Neodiprion lecontei: one gene and its partner. The protein of the gene in region 1 interacts with the protein of each later gene in a pairwise test. Links are inferred from orthologs where the notes say so. Each region holds a gene or a part of one and is shown on either strand. Other genes may lie near its edges.

Evidence for each region.
Region 2: the proteins of Golgi to ER traffic protein 4 homolog (region 1) and ATPase ASNA1 homolog interact in binary tests that used the Homo sapiens proteins (3 or more experiments, as listed by UniProt). The link is inferred for Neodiprion lecontei from reciprocal best matches to the Homo sapiens genes GET4 and GET3.

Annotation. Positions count from the first base shown.
Region 1 is NC_060261.1:8,437,688-8,449,443, forward strand, and holds Golgi to ER traffic protein 4 homolog, read left to right. Parts: upstream 1-3,436; 5' UTR 3,437-3,482; coding exon 3,483-3,595; intron 3,596-3,676; coding exon 3,677-3,755; intron 3,756-4,074; coding exon 4,075-4,309; intron 4,310-4,475; coding exon 4,476-4,614; intron 4,615-4,748; coding exon 4,749-4,889; intron 4,890-5,183; coding exon 5,184-5,433; 3' UTR 5,434-7,681; downstream 7,682-11,756. Other genes in the region: serine hydroxymethyltransferase, read right to left, coding at 8,449-8,615, 8,742-9,241, 9,323-9,647, 9,756-9,967, 10,085-10,281, 11,179-11,355. UniProt on the Homo sapiens protein: As part of a cytosolic protein quality control complex, the BAG6/BAT3 complex, maintains misfolded and hydrophobic patches-containing proteins in a soluble state and participates in their proper delivery to the endoplasmic reticulum or alternatively can promote their sorting to the proteasome where they undergo degradation.
Region 2 is NC_060260.1:37,174,659-37,183,894, reverse strand, and holds ATPase ASNA1 homolog, read right to left. Parts: upstream 5,423-9,236; 5' UTR 5,297-5,422; coding exon 5,178-5,296; intron 5,064-5,177; coding exon 4,855-5,063; intron 4,784-4,854; coding exon 4,678-4,783; intron 4,539-4,677; coding exon 4,388-4,538; intron 4,305-4,387; coding exon 3,996-4,304; intron 3,865-3,995; coding exon 3,745-3,864; 3' UTR 3,673-3,744; downstream 1-3,672. Other genes in the region: fukutin-related protein, read right to left, coding at 390-1,160, 1,960-2,217, 2,468-2,932; meckelin, read left to right, coding at 7,092-7,199, 7,397-7,591, 7,679-7,930, 8,019-8,173, 8,262-8,427, 8,546-8,830, 8,909-9,236.

The DNA of each region.
Region 1 (11,756 bases):
TGCTCTGATACAATACACTAAAATACTGGTTGTCATCTCGTCTTCCAAGAAAAAAAAAAAAGAAAGAAAGAAAAAAACACGAAGTCTGTAACGCTCATAAGTACAGAACTTTATAGTGTATTGAATATAATAATCGTTGACATTTTCGTTTTCCATTTTACTTCATATTTCGTACTTTTTTTTTTTTATAATCTATTTGCGAATTTTATTAAAGAGCTTGTCACCATCGGCACATACATAGCTAGGCGAATTCATGGAAACGTGATTTTTGTAGCTTCAGTGAAACAATCACACGGTGAAGAGAAGAATAATTGTAAAATATAAGAACCGGCAATGTCCGTATTGTTATTATTAAATATTATTATGGATTGAACTAATATTAATTATTAATATAAAAACTACCAATAATATAAACACAAACGAAGTATAAGGAGGTGAGCAAACTACAGAAGAATAATAGATATTAAGAGCCTTAGCTCATGCTGTAGTGTGGGATACATTGATATTTTTATATATTGCTGCGCCATCAATATTTACTTATTCAATCAAGTCAGCCGGTTTGGTTTTTACTGAAAAGGCTTGGCTTTTAACCATTTTAAAGCTATCTTTGCGAGGGCCTAAAATTATGAAAAACAGGGAAGAGTGCTGAAAACTTGATGAAAAAAATTAACACAATGAAGTTCTGTGAAATTTTAATATCAAAAAGTATTCAGTGTTTAGCGCTTAATTAGCAATATGAATTCTTCATCAATAGTTGGAAATTTACCAGACAATATGACGTGCTTTAGAAAGTTCTCATAACCGTAATTACGAATATTGTTTAAAAGAAATCGAGGGTTCTCCTCCAGCGAACCATTTTCATGCTGTTCTCAATTTCATTCAATACGATGTACAAATTGTTGTCCTTTGGTATAGGGGGAAATATAAAATGTAAAAATGTGTGATTCGTACAATCCTATTTGATGTATATCGAAGTAGGATAATTTTTTCTTGAGACATAGAGAAGTAGTTTCTACTCAAAGTATTGAAAACTATGAGAAAAACCTAGATAGCATAAGTACAAATAAATTATTTTTGAAATATGCAAAACGGTGTCATTGCTTTCAAAGATAGAAATAGAATTATTTTTTTAATAGTAAGGTCTGAAAGCCTGCAATCATAAAACTGCTTCATTTTTCTCACTGGTATTCAGCGCTCATCCTACTTATTACTTATACCTTATATAATAAAATTTGGAAAACTGTTCAAAATCATGTGGGAGAAAAGGAAAAATTTTCTTTTCAATTACGTGTTATTTAATGAATGATAGAATGGTACATAATAATATATTCAATCGATTTACGAGGATGCTACTCTTAATTGTGCACGATAATTATTCTTTTAACAGTAAAAATGCATGTAAAAGAATAAATTTCGTTCAAATTTTTGTGAAAGGAAGTCATTGCAGTCACAGAGCGAAGTTTATAAAGTATTGCCTAATAAAACACCGTGATGGAAGATTTGAAATCTTGTACATGGTTGTATATGGTTACATAGTTATATTAAACATGTACATAAACACGTGCGGACAGCGTCAAGTCTGTTTCGTGCCAATCGTCCAATAAATAATCAAGCGGTCCGTTTAATTTAGTTGCACTGTAAAGTTGAACGCCTCATTCATATCTTTACGGAGAAACGATTGATAAAGGACTAAACATAATTTCGCTATTATGCATGAGATGTGAAAAATCAACTATAGCCTTTAATACGAACTAAACCGGCTATTAGCTTCCTAATTATCATCTTGGATATGAATTTTGAAGAAATTATCATTTGCTCATGAGTATTTACATTGCAATTTAACTGTAACATATAAGTTGTCAAATCAATTCTTGAAAACAATCGATTTCGATTGTTATCAAACACCATGTCAAGAAATGATTGAATTCAAAGTAAATGAAATGAGTCTTAAAAAATATTTTAAAAAGTTAAATTTTAAGATATAGGTATAAAATTTCAAGAATAAAAGAACACGGAAATTAATGAGACACATGAAACAAGATTACTAGACGCGGGAAAGGTTGTTTCATCATTTTAAAATGAACTTGTATCGGTGATAGTAAATTTTGAAACTGTAGAAATGAAAATGCTTTAGAAACCGACGCCAAAATGGACGAGGATGGTTTTAAAGTAATATCAAGCACTGTATGCGATTTGATAATTCCCATAGCGACCAGATGTTTTTAAATTAAAATTACTATTTTGACGGTGACAACCTTGTACGTTTAATAATCTTGTATTAGCACTGTCTGCCTTTTTTTACGAATAAAAAAAATCTAATCAGACTTAAACCTTGTAGTGAGGTGAATGAAATGACTTATATTATTATAAAAATGTGCATAAATTGTTTATCAAATGCGCAGTGTTTCCTCATTGAAACAGCATAAATACGAAAATTTTGAAGACATTTTCATATTCCCAATAAATATTGTACATGGAGACAGCCTCTTTAATTCTAGAAATTTAATATCAAGCCCCTGTTATGTTGATTTTATCTTTTATATTCATAAATCATGTGATATGTGAAGTGTAATCATATTTATAGACCCCGCACTAGTTTCAACTAGTTTTCACTGCGTGTCGTTCTGACTCATTTAATATTAGCGCTCCTAATTCTGATCAACGATCTGATGTTACGGAAGAAAAAGATGAGTTTAAGTCGACGATATAAAATATTAGGTATGTAAGAAGTTGTTCGAATCAATAACTTGGTACAATGTAATGATAATCATTTCTTGACTCTTTGAGATTGTGTTTGAAATGAAAATGAATTTGCTAATGGCTTATATATTTATTTATATTTTATTCGGCTTTCGGTTGTATAAAAATTAGGTGATTCAATAACGGAATTCAATTTATTTGAATTATTTTCAAATGAAACTCTTTAAAAAATTGACATCATCAATTCGTTATTACGCTTGCTGGTGTGATGTCTAGACTATACATATGAGCTAATATCTGAACTACGGTTTACTGTAATATATGCAATTTCAATTGTCTCCTAATCTCTGGCCAAAGTATTTTAACATAGTACAGTATAAATGTGTAAAGTGGTTTTATAAACCCCAATTTTCTAAACAATTACCTTGTTAAATCTGTTTACCGATCTCTATCAATGTTTGAAATATCGGCTTTTCTTGCGCCAGAAAGTGATTCTATACAATTATGCCACTGAAACAAAAACAAATACTCCGCAACAATTGCCAAGTGATCTTGCAGTATTTTTTAATTCGTCAATTAGTGATTTGGTCAACATAATTCACGAGTAACATGGGCGAATGATTCAAATTTTTATACAAAAATTATTCCGTCATACCGACGTTTTGCCTAGTGATTTTGCCGCGGCAATTGTTCATCATGAGTAGTCCTGAGTCATAATTCCAATGTTACCAACATAACTCGACTCGAGACTCAATTGAAAAAAGTCCCTAACTAGCATAAACATGGCCTCCCGAGGCAGTCTCGGTGTTCTGAGAGTTTTAGCCAAATTAGAAGCGTCTGTCAACTCCGGAAACTATTATGAAGCACATCAGATGTACAGGACTTTGCACTTTAGGTAAGCCGACAATTATTCATATAGTTTATATATTCTAACCACTTTCAAGTGCTACGTAATTGCAACTTAACCTCTCTTTAGGTACCTTGGACAAAGAAAGTATTCGGAATTACTGGAATTACTGTACAATGGATCAACGTTACTCCTACAACATGATCAGGTACTAATTTATCTACTTTAATGTATTTGCATCAATACAAAGTGCCTTCCAAATTTTAACATTTGCATATGCATGTATGTTGAATGTTCATTGGAGCATTCAGTGATTAGTCACAAGTGGTAGAAGTCTTGCCATCTCTTGCATTGGATTTCCAAATGTTACCAAAGTTATGAAGTAGCATTGCTGTAGCAGATATGCAAAATAAATGCTTGAATGATTTTCACATTTATTCTGCAATTCCCATATATTTAATCTACGACAGGCATGCATTACATATTTAAGAACATGAGCAACACTGATTGTTTAATTTTTCTTTCAGCAAGCAAGTGGCGCTGATCTTGGAACATTATTTGTCGATGCTCTAGTCAAGTCAGAAACTGAGCCTTCGCAAGTATATTTCGAAAAACTGACGAATTTATTCAGCTTGATGAACCCTACAGCACCAGAAAGGGAAACGTTTCTTTTAGAAGCGCTAAGGTGGAGCTTAAAGGGGTCCGATTATAAAACGGGTCACCCTGATTTTCATCAGCGAATAGCACAAGTATTCTGGAAAGGTATACTCAAGTGATAAGAATCAGATCTGTGTATTAAATATTTCTTTCATAACAGATAGACAGATTCATTGAAATTGTACATTGTGAAACTATACCGCTACTTCATTGTGCATAGAAGCTCTCGCAGTCAATCTCTCATATCATATTTATATCTTTTTAAATACAGAGAAAAACTACATAATGGCCAGGCAACACTTTTTATATAGTAGTGATGGATCTGGTTGTGCTGCGATGCTTGTTGAACTTCACGAAGAGCGTGGATACTCGAGTGAAATAGATCTTTTCATTGTGCAAGCCGTCTTACAGTAAGTCATTGAGTGAAATTATACTTCATACAAGAGTTTTGTAAAAGATACCCGAATTGTTTGCTCACATGTACATTATAAAATAGTAAAAGAATTGTTACGCTCTTATTATATTGTACTTCATTGATTTCCAGGTACTTATGTTTGAGAAATAAAACCACAGCAGAAGAAGCGTTTCATTCATATACTTTGAAACACCCAAAAATAAATAGTGGTCCACCGTACTTTCTGCCGTTGTTGAATTTTTTATTCTTCTTACTGAAAACCATTGAAACGTAAGTTTTGCTGACATGTTATATTAATAAATTAGCAATATAGTTAATCATACACTAACATGATACATTCCTCATCACAATAATCCAGCAATATCGTAACAATTGTATTGGATATTCTTGCCTTTGAAATACTTGGTCTCATTTTAAATTTACAAATTTCACTTGCTGTCTTTCAAGATATTATGAGAATTTTTGATTGTTAATGCTATGAATGACTATAGGCAGTTAAAAGATTTCAACATATTCACCAGAAATCAAAAACATTTTAACTTTTTAAAATTTTTGTAAATACAGTGGTAAGCTGGCCGCTTTCACAGTTTTGTGTGAGCAGTACCAGTTAAGCCTGAACAGAGACCCGCTCTATAGACAATACTTGGATAAAATAGGTCAAGTGTTCTTTAATGTATCACCGCCACGGGCACCAAGTCAAGGATTATTTGGTTCACTGTTACAATCGTTTTTCAACGGTCTGGAAGAAGAAGATTCAGACGATGATCAGCGAAATGCTCCTACGACATCGCACGTGGCACAAGAATTAGACTAATTGGAAAGGGAATGTTTTTAAGCTTTGTATGAGATGAACTAAAAGAGCTTACAGAGATTTGAGATGCCATAAGGGTCTGCTGAAGTGGGTATACATACATATACATATTAAATCTAGCGTAATGTAGCAGTTTATTGTTCTCATTTTTAGCATTCTTCATCCATTCAAATACTTATATATATTAGGGTGGTCCTTGTTTGGAAGTCGATAAAAGTTTTGCTGCAACGCTCCGCAGACCTGTTCACAATCATTTTAAAAAAATCTGTAAATTTTCAAGCCACTGCAACTAAAACAACTTAAAAATTAAGAAAGGATACGTTTTTTTTTACCTGAATGGGAAAACCCAAACTCGCAGAGGCACGTGTATCAGTGATGTAACGGCTTGAAACTACACAAATTTTTTATATGATTTGGAACAGGTCTGGGGGGCATTGCAATGAAAATATTTCAGACCCCCAAATAAGAACCCACTCTAAGATATATAAATATATAATAATATACATAGGTACATATTGATGAACATTCGAAGGGTTGTAAAATGCTTACATTTAGAGATTTATTTATATCTGAATATGCATTCTTACGTATTCATCATTGTACCTATATGGATTGTAGAAGCAGTGTACAGAATTTTATTTATTTTTGCGTAAATTTCAATTCTTCAAAATAATAATATATATAAAAAACATAAATTCATGGTCGATGCCCATTCAGTTTGTATGACTTTATTTTACTTTATTTTTCGCCGTTTACGTTTCTAATAATCTATTGACAAACATGTGAGATTTTTAGGTTTTTTTTTATACTAAACAGTGTGCTAACAAATTAGCTTATAAATACGCGAAACTAAGCGATTTAAAATGAGATAGTTATTCTAAAACTCGATATTCCACATTCAGGAGGCAAAGCATATAATATCTAATGTGCCCTTTTTGAAATCTGGCTCTAAAGAAAACTTATAGTAATAACCGTGTACATTTTGGAAGTGATACGATCGGTTTAAAGTGTTATTTTGTATACTCTGAATAATGTGAGAAATAAAAGGAAAAAATATTTAGCATAATAATTTTTTCTTAAAAATATAAACTGCACTAATACCACATGTGATTAGTTAAAGTGAAGACACGTGACAAAGCTGAATAATATTCATCTACTAACGAATAATGTAAAGAAACGTCAAAATCAAAGTACAAGGCTAGTTCACACATCCGACGTCAGAATATTGACTATTTTAGACATTGTATATTATTATCAATTTTAGTAAGCTGTAAGATGTCAAACTATGAGTCAACTTAAATAATGTACAAAAGTAATAATTATTGCAGTACATACCTTTCAATGGCAAATTTTTTTCATCTCGTCTCTTATTCAATATAGCATGTAATTTTATGAATACTTGACTGGTATTGTGTATATAGATTTTTATTAGTGCGAACAAGGTCCACTTTACTTGTTCGACTTTTTCGATTTACTTCCAATCTTTTACTTCATGAAAATAATTAGTCTTTTTTCTGATCTATCGATTGCTGATGCTGTTTCTGTCATATGATAGGATTTAAAATTATATTAATTTACGCATTGAAACGAATCCGATATTTACGAGTTTGTATTAACTTCTGGTTTATCGAAATATTAACAATTTTAGGGCGCAGTAGAAGAATGCTTAAAAAAGCATCTATGTAATTTGTAAAACAAATTTTAGATAACACATCATTTGAGCAATCAATGTACAGGCTGAGAATCTTTCCAAAGTAAGTTAAAACAGTGTTAAGAGATACGAGCAAATATATTTTACAGTAGTATAGCGTGTAGCAAAAGCTCAATTACGCAACAGTTAATATTTAGTATGAAATACTATAATGCTTTATTACGTGAATTAAAATTAATCTCCGACAGTGGCATAATAATCTATTTAATTGAGGAAAAACAAATTCTAGATCCTTAACATATTAAAAATAAAAATACAAAATGATAATCCACTATCTTTTCACATACAGAATTCGTTATTAACCTTAAAAAACTGTAAAATACTAACAGGTGGTTTTTATTTGTGTATTTTATTTTTCAGTATAAAAAATATAAACATGAGACTTTTATCGAGGATTTTTAGCTCGGATATTAAATACTTTTTATCTCGTAAGCCATTTACATGCAATTTCAATAAAAACAATTCCTTCTTCGCAATCCTTTACAATTTTAATGCATACATAAGTTTTAACTATAAAATATTAACTCTTAAATGTTATTCCAAAAAAAAAAAAAACTAGTCCTACATGATAGATACAGAAGGTAAATAACGTTAATTTCTTATAAAATAATTGGTGATATTATAATTGTAGGTAACGTTACTGCACAGGTTTGGGAAATGATTTTGATTTTTATACAAAGAAATAAAAATATAATTTAGACCACTATTGTATGTATAGGAAAACTACGGAATTATATCTATCAAAGCAAACCTCGATTTTTTTAAAAGTAGCTCACTGCTTGATTGTAAGTCTTTCTAGTATGATTGAGCGGGAGTTACAATATGGAAAAATTTTTATGTACGTTATATTGAACATGACTCAATATTAAAATTATGAGACGTAGATCTATATTCCAACCTGCTCTTTTCTCAAACGAAAATATTTTCCAATTATATTATCATTTAGTATTAATCATTGTAAATGATATATCTTACCAGGAACCAATTTGATATCCCCCTTCGAATTTGATGCAACTCGTGTATGTTGTAGAACATTGAAAACTAAAACACACCTTTGTTTTATCAGCGGAAAAACGGTTTGAAGGGATGAAAACGATCCCCAAAGATGGAAACCCAACATGGTAATTTCTTGATGTACACGATGTGTTTGAATGAAACCAATGCTGAAATGTTCCTATTCATGAATGAAACCTTTTTTAATGTTCTACAAATATACATGAGTTGTAACTAAATCGGAGGCGGACACCGAACTGATCTTTCTTGTTAGTAGAAATCTATCTAGCTGTATCTCTTTTGGATACACATGTTTAATACTCTTTCAGACCTGGCATGGGGAATTGTGAGGCAAATTTTTCTACTTCTGTACGAAGTGCTTGGACCTTTACCTTTATTGCCACATCAGTATCTAATACCCTTTTAAATTCCGGGAGCTTAAGTCCAGATATAGCCGTGACTTCTTTAGCCAGTTCTATACCTGAAAATGGGAAATAGTATTAACAGCCTGTGAGTCGATATTGTCAAAGCTGGAGCATAACTTTGAACGCTTCGCCAAGCTAACTCAAATTCAAACGTAAGTGATAGTGAAACTGATAGAACTTACCTGAATGAATGAAATTAACAGCTTTATCAATTTCAGCTTCCTTGAAACCCCTAGTAGTCAAAGCCGGTGTTCCAAGCCTGATACCGTTTGGATTCAATGCACTTTTATCCCCAGGAACTGTATTTTTGTTGCATGCGATTCCAATATCTTCTAGTATCCTCTCAGCTTTGGCTCCGCTGATACCAGTGGAACTCAGATCAACTAAGATGAGATGCACGTCGGTGCCACCACTGCTAATTTTGTAACCAAGTTTTTGAAGACTGTCCGAGAGTCTTTTTGCATTAGCTAATACTTGTTTTTGATAAGCAATGAACTCGGGAGACTTAGCCTGTTTCATTGTTGTGGCAATGGCAGCAATTTGATGATTATGTGGGCCACCTTGCAGGCCGGGAAACACAGCCTGATTTATTCTGGTCTCCAGATCATACAAAATCTTTTCACCCTTCTTATTTGTACTTCTAACGCCTTTCCGGAAGAAAATTACACCGGCACGTGGCCCTCTGTAATTAAATAAACATTATATCTGACTGTCTGATTTATACAAATGTTAAAATTTGTTTACAACAATTTAATTGCTGTACCTGAGCGTCTTATGAGTTGTAGTAGAAACAACATCGCTGTATTCAAACGGGCTAGGAATAACACCTGCAGCAACAAGCCCAGAAATATGCGACATATCGCTGAAGAGATACGCTCCATGTTGATCAGCAATTTCCCTAAAACGTTTATAGTCCAAACACCTGCTATAGCACGATATACCGGCTATAATTATCTTTGGCTTGAACAATCTTGCAGTCTCTTCAAGTTTATCGTAGTCTATGTATCCTGTTTCAGGATTCACCTTGTAAGGCATCGACTCAAAGAATATCGATGTTGCAGAGATTTTCTTGGTTTCGGTGAAAAATCCTATGAAACATTGAAGGTAGATTTATAAATAAAATGGTAATGTAAAATTTTTCTTTATAACAGAAAATTACTGCTCCTCATAAATACGTTTAAGGAATTTTTGTTAACCATGTGTTAGATGCCCTCCGTCGGGGAGATCTAGACCCATTATACGCCCATGGGGTTCAACCAGACCAGTGTAGACAGCAAAATTGGCCGGACTGCCGGAGTACGGTTGAACATTGCATCCCCATTCTTCTGGATTTAGATTGTAAGCTTCTAAGGCACGTTTTTGAGCAAGTAATTCAATTTGATCAATGAATTCGTTTCCACCGTAATATCTGAAAAAGTGAAAAATTATTAGTGTACAATTGAAGAAAATAAAATTATGTTCTAACGATTTCACATAGTTCCAGGTACAAAAGAGGAGAATTTGGAAGTCAAATTAATTTATTCACCTCTGTCCCGGAAGACCTTCGCTGTATTTATTTCCTAGGCAAGATCCGAGGCATTGGAGTACGCTAAGAGAGGTAAAATTTTCACTCGCAATCATTTCCAGCCCACACTCTTGTCGCTTTTTCTCCTTTTTCATTAAATCGAACAGCTCGTAATCCGTGTCCCATAAGTTTTTGTGAATAGTGCTCGACATATTGTCCTAGAAATGAAATTCTCAGATTTAATAGAAATGAAAAAACAAGTTTCATAATTTTTTCTTTCCTTTTCGTTCAAATGACATTATAACTTGCACATGAAAATTTAATTGATCACATTTAATTTCCGTCAAAGAATATCACGAAATGAACAATAACCTGTTGCTTTTCACACGTCTTGCTGCGTACGGACACGTGCTTCGAACGGAAAAAAATATGGAAGTAGTTATGTAGCGAAAAAAAAACGTGCCAGTAACGTGCGATATTCGTCAAAGATTGATTGCTAAATGGTAGGAAATTTGCGGTACCCGTTGTATTATAATGCCTAGTTAAGGGAAACTGATGGAGTTCAAGTGAGATAACCCCAACTCTCCAAGCGACACGAAGAGGTCGTGAATATGTGAAATCTTCTTACGTGAAACTTAAACGTAAGATTACGCGCGAGTTTTATCGCCGATAGTGAGAATGTAAAATCGGAACAGAGCGCAAACAAGCGTCACACATGTAATAACTCACGTTAGCACAACTTTCGACATTTGTTTTGCGCAAATAATCATAATTATAATACATATAGGTATAATGATTATCGCAGAGACGCCCTTATCAAAGTTTGCACAATAACCGATTATTGTTGTTGCACTTTCGAAAACACACATAATCGCAAACGAGCGCGTTAAAAACAATTATTTCGTCACACTGACCGTCTTAAAGATAAGTTCACATCGCTGTCACACTAATTATCTACGTTATAGGCTAAACTGCATCTACTACAAATATTGCATCGAAGTGTAGAATTGCAACAATGCGTGTGAATATCGGCTGTCAGTACGGTCAAGAAAAAAAATGATCAAACAAATTTAACGCTTATTGTTAGAATACCCGACATTATTTGCTTTCCTCACCGGCATTGAAGTGCAGTCAGTTGCCGTGTGTTGAACGTAGTGAAACGATGATGTAGTGCGAGTAACCGAGTGACCCAGAGTTCTTGGTCTTCTTGTTGCATTGCCCTTTTTTCTCACCAGATTTTTAACCAATTGCTTCGCCGCTCCGGTTAAATTATACCAATTTCCGGCCATCATATTTTATGTATTTAGCTCGGTGATACTCCCACGATTGTATGGAAATATAAACTGACTGTAGGGGTATAAAGTTTGCCTTTAAAATAACTAAATAGCCAGCCTTTCGACAGTTCACGCGAAGTCGGTACAATCTATCTTCACGGATATATGCTACGCGTTATAATACGCAGGACCAATTCCGAATTCTATCAACTATGTACGCGTTGCGCATAAATTTAAAAAAAAACAAACCGGCTATATTAACGTTTTCTTTCCAACTGTGCATATTATAAGCATGCAGAACGATCCACCGTTTAAAGAACTGACTGCTAAGGGATTGCGAGAGAATGTGCATCATTGTATATATATATACGTGTCGTATATATTCTACACGCTACGAGATAGATCAATACGCTTTCTCG
Region 2 (9,236 bases), on another chromosome or scaffold:
AATTATTATTCAAATGATATTCACACGAATATATTTTGTTACCTAGGCAGAAAAAGAATAGGACGAAACGCCCAGCCTAGCTGACTTTTCTTCGAAATATTCTGAAAGTTATCTCTATTAATCTTCTAAAGTGATAATAATTTCAAAAAATGAAAAATGTAAATAGTAATGTTGTGGAAAAAGAAATACACATACAGAAGTTGTCATAATTTCAAGGAAATACAACTTTTCAAGTTGATCGCATTGTTTGACAAGTTAATAATTCGGGTTACGTCTCTTAAAAGTCAATCATTATATGATGATAAAAAAAAAAATTAAACTATAACTAGGTATTACAGCGATTTAATCAATCCGTTGTGTGATATGAAAAAGATGGTTTTCAAAAATTTCTAATCAGGAAAGAGTTTTCCAGGTACTTCAGGGTTTTCTATCACACCTTTATAATATTTTATTTCTAAAAAATCTCTAATATTATTTGGACACGGTACTTGTCTGCCGGCGAATTCAATACTGGACATCGGATGTAAAAATTGCTCCGGAAAATCCTTGTTCTTCAAAAACCAGGCATCTTTCATCATCGTACCATTTTCAGAATAAAATGGAAGCAAATTGACGTGAAGATGGTTTGTTTTGGAGTATTGAACTTTAAAAAATTCACCCTCCGTAGCTTTTTCCCAAATGAATCCCTGGTTATCTGTTACCGGCTTGTTCCTAGCTCTGGCCAACCACGGAGACCTCATAATATCGTCACGATTCAATCCTACGTCAACTTGATGACCCCATGGTAATATATCTCCATTTCTCATCGCCCCTAGCAGCGAATCTCCTTCAATCCAGAACCGAATGCCAACTTCTTCCAGCTTATCAAATACATGATGGGCTACTCTTCTCAGGCCCGTTAAACAACAGGGAGGTGTGTATCGGTTTTGATAAAGGTAGGATGGTATTCCATTAACAACGGATCCGAAACATCTTGGGGTCTCTCGAGAACAGCCGTACCATTCGACAGACCCGGATACGCGCGTCACTTTTTTTATCCCTAATTTCTCGAACATTTCACGTTCTCGACTTCGAGATAACTGCTCCACCTTCCACTGTGCTTGATGGCTACGAAATAGTGGCTTCCCTTCGTTGAAATGATGATCGTTCATTATATGCACCTGAGAAAAGAAGGCACATTCCAGAATTTCAGTGCAATACATGAAGCATGTGAAGCTTCTCACATCAAACTGGCCCCTTTCATCTTATTGATTTCGAAAAAATCTCAAGGGCATTAAATCAAATTACTCCAATAAAGAGTACAAGTGAGAAAAGTGACCTGCTACTCCTGCTAGAGGTAAGAAGCTCCACATGTTCCTGTTCTGAAAGAGTACGAACAGATCTATCTGTTAAGAATCAAGTTTAGATGAAAACCAAACGATATATTCTCACCATATCGATACCAAATTTCTTTGGTGTTGGTGATAAGAATTTCATCAATTCAGAACATAATGTATATTACGTAGGTGAATTAAAATAATATAATGGTTGTACTTACCAGAAAGCAAGCTCTGAATCTAAATACATGCATAACAAGCACATACCGAGAATGTGTAGCGTCCAAATAGATAACAAAAATCGATGTAACACTAAAAATAAACCGCAACATTTCCGACTATATTACGATGTACGTGGCTAAAAATAATTATTACATTGGGCGTGATGTAGATTACATTTGGTAAGGGAAGATACTGCAGGCAATTTTGCATTCAACTATTATCGTAGTAATTTCATCAGCTATTACGGTATAAGCAATGAAATCGTCAGTCTATGTAAATATCCATAACTACATGTAGTACCGCTAGATGCTAGGTGGGAAAGAATTTCCTACGCTTTTAGTGATCAGAGAAAAAATAATGTTGGTTAAATATTACAATACTCAACATGTTTGATAATTGTAAAAGTCATAGAATCGCATACCTTAGCTCCCAACGCCGTAGTCTGGATGTAGAAAGCATCTGTGAATGGCAGAATGAATGGATCGGATAATTTCCTCAACGTTCTAGCTTCAATCATAGTACCGTGACGTCCGATTATAGAATCACACGTGGATCCGTCGATATTCGACATTTCTAGGCTCCACTCTTTTACTCGCAGTGCCATCCCAATGCAACTTAAAGGATTGGCACCGACTGGCACCGAAACAGCCCCCAACTTTGACGCCTGGATAATCATACTCTGGAACAGTGAAAATGTTCAACTTATGTAATCATCGCATAATAGAGGTAAAAAATTATTAGCTGTTGAAACAGTTGGACATCATAAAATCATGAATGGAATAAAATTTATGGGACGTGATAAATAGTATTAAAATATGAGACAAACATCACAGAAGTTTATACTCAAGTTCACTCATCTAAGTTTGCGCACACTTCGATGATTTTTCTTACTGAGTTTAGTAAAGTAAGTAACAACTCGAGAAGCGTACCTGCAATACTTGTTTGGTGCTCAATCTGGTAGCATCGGGAAGGAATAGAACGAATTTTGTTCTGATGAAAAAGAGGGGATTCCTTTCGTCGAAGGACTTGTTAAAATTGAGTTGGAGATTGATTAGCTTCACGTATCGCATTGTATTATTTTTGAAGTCCAGTTCCAGCGGCGGATAGGGAAGCTGGTCGCATATTATCAAAATGGGAATTAACGGAAAGGCGGTCATCACGGACTCGACCGTGGCAGAGACGTCATTTTCGAATGTTTCAAATTGACGGATAACAATCGTCACTGACCGCGCTAAACCTCGATGAACCTTTTGGGATGTTTCGACCGTCGAGGCGGCCGGCGTCGCCGTCAGAGAGACGCTCGGAGCCGCGAATAATCTCCATATTCTATGCCACACGACTATATTACCAACCAACGCGAGCACCAGTAATATTTTAACCAGTTTGAGACGCATATTTTACTAAGAAAAACTCGATTTACTCAACAATTCCATGATTAGAACGGATATTTGACAGGTCGCTTCGTTTTCGTATCAACGATAACAACCAACAGACGACGCAACATTAACGGTCATGCTTTGCCGGGACTCGCTAGTCCTTGGCGCGGATTTTCAACTTTGACTACTTTACAATGTGAGAATTGATTGATGAAACTTGTTTTTGACGACGTGATTTACGAATACATTTATTACTTCAAAAACGAACCGTATGAAAAAGTGTTCGATTAATCACTGGGGTACTGTTTTTAACGAAAAAAGAAACATTTTTACAACACGTACGAGCGTTGACTGAGGATAATCTTCAGTCAACGGTACAAGCAATGTGTACGAGACATTTTTCGCGCAGAATTATTATTGCCAAATTCGTACCCCTGGGCATATTTTCGTGCAAAGTACTCAATGGGTAATTTGGCGATCAGGTAGCTTCTTTACCGAAAGGAGCCGTCAATTACTCCGTGCCATTAGGCACACAAAACCGCATTATGGTTGCCGTTTTTAATATTCTTCAGACGAGGTCAAGTTACAGCCATACTTATGCACCTTATACATAAACATGTAAGGTATTGTTACACGTTTGTATTAAAAGATCAATTTTTAAATTAGGGTATCTGTTACTCCATGACACTGGTGGAAAACCTGATAGTACATAGTACAAGGACTACGGCCAATAGATATTAAATGCATTCAATATAGAATATTTTTTCAGTAATCTTTATTTTACAGTTGGCTGTAGAGGAAAATATAATGAATTTTTAAAAATGTTAATGTTATGGCTTGTACGGTTTCACCAAGTTCTCGGAAAATTCTTTTATATGCTGAACTCCGCGAACTTCGCGTTCCAGCAATGGCAGTTTCGTCACGTGGAAGTCCTCGTACAAATCTGTAATCTTTGAATCGACGAGAGTAGTTAGATCAAAGTAGTTAAAAGTATGAAAAAATATTGAAACGAATTTTTCCAATTATACGCTATAGAAATTATAAATTGGAAAAATGATACGACGAGAGGTCAACGAATTACCTGATCTAAATGCTTATCCTGAATTTTGTGCCTGGCTTGGCAGAGTCTGCAAGGCACATCGCCTTCTTTTAGGAATAACAATTGGTTTACAATAACGTTGTGAGTGTCAATGCCGCATTTTGTTAACTCTTGAACTAGTCTTTCCGTTTCATAGAGGGACAAAAATTCGGCTATACAAACACAGATGAAAGTTGTTTGTTCTGGGTCCCGGAATTGGTCGTTCACTTGACGAATCACTGCCAGCATTTCTTCCATTTTATTTGAAAATGTATCGACGTTGATATCCGACATACCCAACAATGAACCTATCTGTAAAAAGTTAAGTCCATTTTATTAAGATGATCTGTTTAGCTGTATGATTGAACACGATAATTGATTTCTATTGCACATACCTGAGATATGAAGGGACTGATTTTCATTTTCAGTCTCATTAATTTTCCTAAACCCTTCTCTACAACTTGTGGAAAGGACAACAACCTCAGAGTGTGACCGGTTGGCGCCGTATCAAATACAACAACCGAAAAGTTCATTGCTTTCACAAGCCTGAAAAAGGTATGAACAAAATTAAAGCAATGATTTCTTGTCACCATACACGATTTGTCGATTGTGTAGAAAACATTTGACTTTCTACAATAATTACTTCGACATATTTTGAGACTTGGAGTTAAAAAAGTTTACTCACTTCATTACTTCGGCGTAGCTCATAGCTTCATCTATTCCAGGAAAGGCGCCGACTATCTCCTGCATCACGCTTCTGCTCAAACGTATCGCTTCTCCTCCTATGACTCCTAAAAATTGTTGAGAAGGTAAATTCAGTTGAATATATTCCATTTTCAAAATAATTCCGATATTGACTAACCGGCTTCGCCTTCAAAATATTCTTCAGGCAGTTCTGTGATACCAACATTGGGGTCAATTTCCATGGCAAATAGATTATCAAATCCTTTTACTTTAGTGGGTACTTTGCTGAATTTCTGATCAAACGCATCTGAGATGTTGTGCGCAGGATCTGTGGAAATGATCAAGACGTTCTCGCGAACTTTAGCTAGTTGAATGGCCAAGGAGCAGCTGTATTGAAAAAAGAATTAGAGATACAATTATCGGTTTATGAATGTCATTTTAACCGGACAACTATTTTCCTACGATATTTTCTCCCTCATGTATAGGTTATGTACACATCACCTGCATGTTGTTTTCCCAACGCCTCCTTTTCCGCCGACGAATATCCATCTCAACGATCGTTGATCAATCACGTTTCGCACGGACGCTTCCAGCGGCTCAAATTCGACATTCGCAGCCATATTTTTCAATCTCTGATTAACTCAAAAATCGAAATGTCACCCGTCACGACAAACTAATTTCGCAGTTTCGCTGCTTGCGCTCAAGCGTCACGCTCTGCGCCAATCTTTCACAGCTGATGCTAATGACAGTTGTTCCCAACTTGTGCTCAACTGTTACAGTGATAAACACAGATGCTCAAACAATGATGCAATCAATATATCTATGCTTTTACGAATCCTGTATTGCGTTTGAATTCATGTCAAACAAGTTTTATTGAAGAATGAAACCTTATTAGCCATTGTACAATGACGGTATCATTCCATTTTATGAGTTACGAAGCCGTGAGATTCATTGACCGAAAGCTAATTCCGCTATATTTTACAATTCATCCCTGGCTAAAATGACCGTCCCGATTGCGAATTGAGTTCCTTGAGACACTGTACTGGAACTAAATAAAAGAAAAATAATGCATTTCGACTTTTACTCGGATAGCCAAAAACTCGCTCCACATTTTGAAATCATAAAATTGAAAATACATCTAAATCTACCTCCACTACAGTACGATTAAAGTTCGTTGTGAACTCGACCCATCTCTGGACTTTGAGCGAAATTCGACATAACACAGCTAGGTATTATAATATCATTCAGGTATATTCATCAAAATAAATGCGGTTTCAACCGCGACACTTGCAAACACAAATTGAATCGTGAACTAAAATTACGCGTCTAAGTTACAAAATGTTAACATTGTGAATTTTTTAAAAAGTAGAATGCGATTTTAGCACGGCATTTTTTTTTTTCATCAAATCAAATGCGTCATCGCGCCTGCAGGTTTGTCTCTCCGAATATCCCCTGAGTTGCCATGGAAACGGGCGGTAGGTATAAGACTGTAAACAATACAATACATAACGCACCCGCATATCGAATGGTTTAAAAATGTTTTTCATACACGATCCGTTTGTTCGTTATTTATTTTTCTCCGTTATTTTAGAAAATATTTTCCAAGTAAACACGTATCCGAACGGGGAGTTGTTTCAATACGTTACTCCTAGTATGTGCAAAAGAGGGGAATATTTCAACGTTGGATCATTAATTTGCACAGCTTGTGACACGACGAAGAACCTCGAACCCTCCAAAGACCGCAAGTTTAATTTATTGCCTAATTTATTGATATTTTAGGGAGCATGGTGTAATTTCTTCATTTTTGTTTTATTATATACTATCAATTATTTGTACTTTCAATAAATTAAAATGATGTGTAAACTTTTTCCAACTTATACTTTCGACCTGTCTCATTCATTGTATAAAATACAGTTAATAAATGAATCTGAAAAAAGTTGTAAAATTTTGAATTCACCATTACAGGACTTGATTGTGTTTGCAATAAACAAAGTAGGTTTGTCAATTTTGAAAATGGTAATCCGACCTGTGAGCCGTGTGGCCCTGACAGGATTCCCACAATTGACGGACTGGACTGCGTTCCATGTTCTGATGCTAGTACTAATAGTAGCTGCGAATGTTCGCTGACTGAAGTCAGATGTGAGAAACTGTTTTACCTCTTTGTGTATAGTATAAAGAACAACTGAATATTGAGAACATAAAATTACGTCGATATTTTTAGTGGAACGAGACATTAATGGGACTCTTTTGAATAACGTAAGATGCATTCCATGTCCAGAGAACTCCTATCCATCGCCAGATGGAACGAGTTGCATACCGTGTAGAAAAAAATCATTCAGGAGTCACATCAATTGCCCCTGCCCATTAGTTTCACATTTGAAAATCAAAGAGTACTGTATTAAGAAAAATGGGATAATGGAATGGCCTGATGTGAGAAGTACGTACTTAGTCAAATACGAAAGCCAACATATCGACAGTTATTACTTTAGAAATGAGCTACAACTAGCCGTTTACCTGTGTAAAGTAAGTATTCACTGATCGGTATTCTTGGTATTGCTTTCTCGGAGGAATGCGAAAAAATTCACACAATAGCATGGAGTGAAGATTCTCCCAAAGATTCGAAAGATGAACAATTTAAAATTGAACCAGCGGTGCATAAATAACTTCATTTGTAATAATTATTGAAATTCATCACACTAGAATTTTGTATTTGTTTTCAGAATGGAAACAAAACAGCTTGCGAGCATATGGCAAATATGTGCACCCTGACTTTATTTACATCTTTGATACCATGTAAATTATTTTGGGATAAACATAACTCTCCTTTATGGCTGTACTATGGAGAAGGTGAAGCCCCAACAGTTCTCAATCGTAAAAAAATTTCACAGCAGTATAGTCTGGATGTAGAGAGTAATGTACGTAGAGAATGAAACGAAATTGTATGAAAAAAAACTCATTTGTTGGCACTATGTCGTTAATGACTTTTTTTTATTTCACCACAGAGTAGCAGGTTGAATATTACATTTGCCACATTTTCAATGAATGGACAATATCAATCGATCTCAGCACCAACTTTAATCTGCGACTTGTTCAAAAATATCAGATTTGGTATTAATATTGAAAAGTCGTGTGCAACAACTGCCAAAATACTCAATGATATAAGAATGGAGTTTTTTGAACCATATCTTGGATACAGAGAGGGCGACAAAATGATTTTATACGCACTGCCGGTTCTGATAAGAAATACAAATAAGGTGAGATGGTTAAGACATTTTTCATAATTAAGGATAAAGGCAGCAAAAAATGCCCAAGTCTCTTCTTCATCTTTGCGGCACTGTTTAGGATGAAATTGATGCTTCTCGATGGCAACTGGTAAGGAGATTTTTCTTTACTGATACTATAGCTGGCATTAAAGCCTTGCCAACGTCGTTAGGCACTGCTTTTAAGAGAGAAGAATATCCAACTGTTGTGAGATATGCTAAATCTATTAATATTTTGTGAGTATTGCCTCGTTTTTTGAAAATGTGTGTGCTGTGTTGCAAAAATTTACTGTCATATACTGAGTAATTTTTTTCAATCATTCAGAATCAAAGTGCAGAATAAAGAAGAGAAGGGAAAAATATTCCCACCGTTACTTATGATAGAATATGGTGAATTGCTAAACGAACATGTGCGTCAAAACGTTGAGGTGCAAATTAGCTATAAAATCACTTACATATTGGCAGATAACGACATGTACAATGCCATAGAGGTAAACAAGTTTATTTTCAAGTAATAACGAACGCACAATTTTGTTTGCCTAAAATAATCTTTAATTAATCACTCGAGCACATCATTCATTCTTCTGATCAAATTTTTATGCATTTCAGGTGTCTACAGGCGTTTTGTCGAGTTTAGCAGTTGCTTTTGCCGCAATCAAGGCATGGAGCCATTGTAAACGAAATGGCAGTGAAGTTCCAAATACCTCCACGTTTTTCTGGTTTTTTATATTTTGCTGCGGTTTACTAGGAAACGTATTTATATTCGTAGTTTTCTGCGCCAGTGCTTACATGTTCATCTTTTTTAAAGGGCAGACCGTGATGCATGTTTTATTACCGAGCGAGGCCAACGAGGAGACTGTCAGAATATTCGTGATCGTTGCATTCTCTTTAAAAGTGAATAATGATATATTTTCATTCTTTACAAATCTGTCTGACAATTTTGAAAGGTTACTGCACCAATTATGTTTGCAGCTTGTTGAGATAATGGGACTCGTCTATCAGATTAGAAACATTGACATGTTTTTCATTGATTGGGAACAACCGAGGTCTGTTCAAAGCCAACCAAAGTACGATTCACCTCGTACATCTCTAAAGAAATTGTACGCTAATAGATTCTCTGGTGAAAAACGTAGCTCACCAAAAACACCATCAGAAATAATATCAGCTAGTAGAAACAAAACACCGCACAAATTGAGTAGCATTAATACCCCGAGCAGGCGATCAAGACTCTCGATTCAGAGTGATTTAAACGATTCGAATCTCCCCAATCAATCAGGTGGAGATATTTTCTCTATGGGAG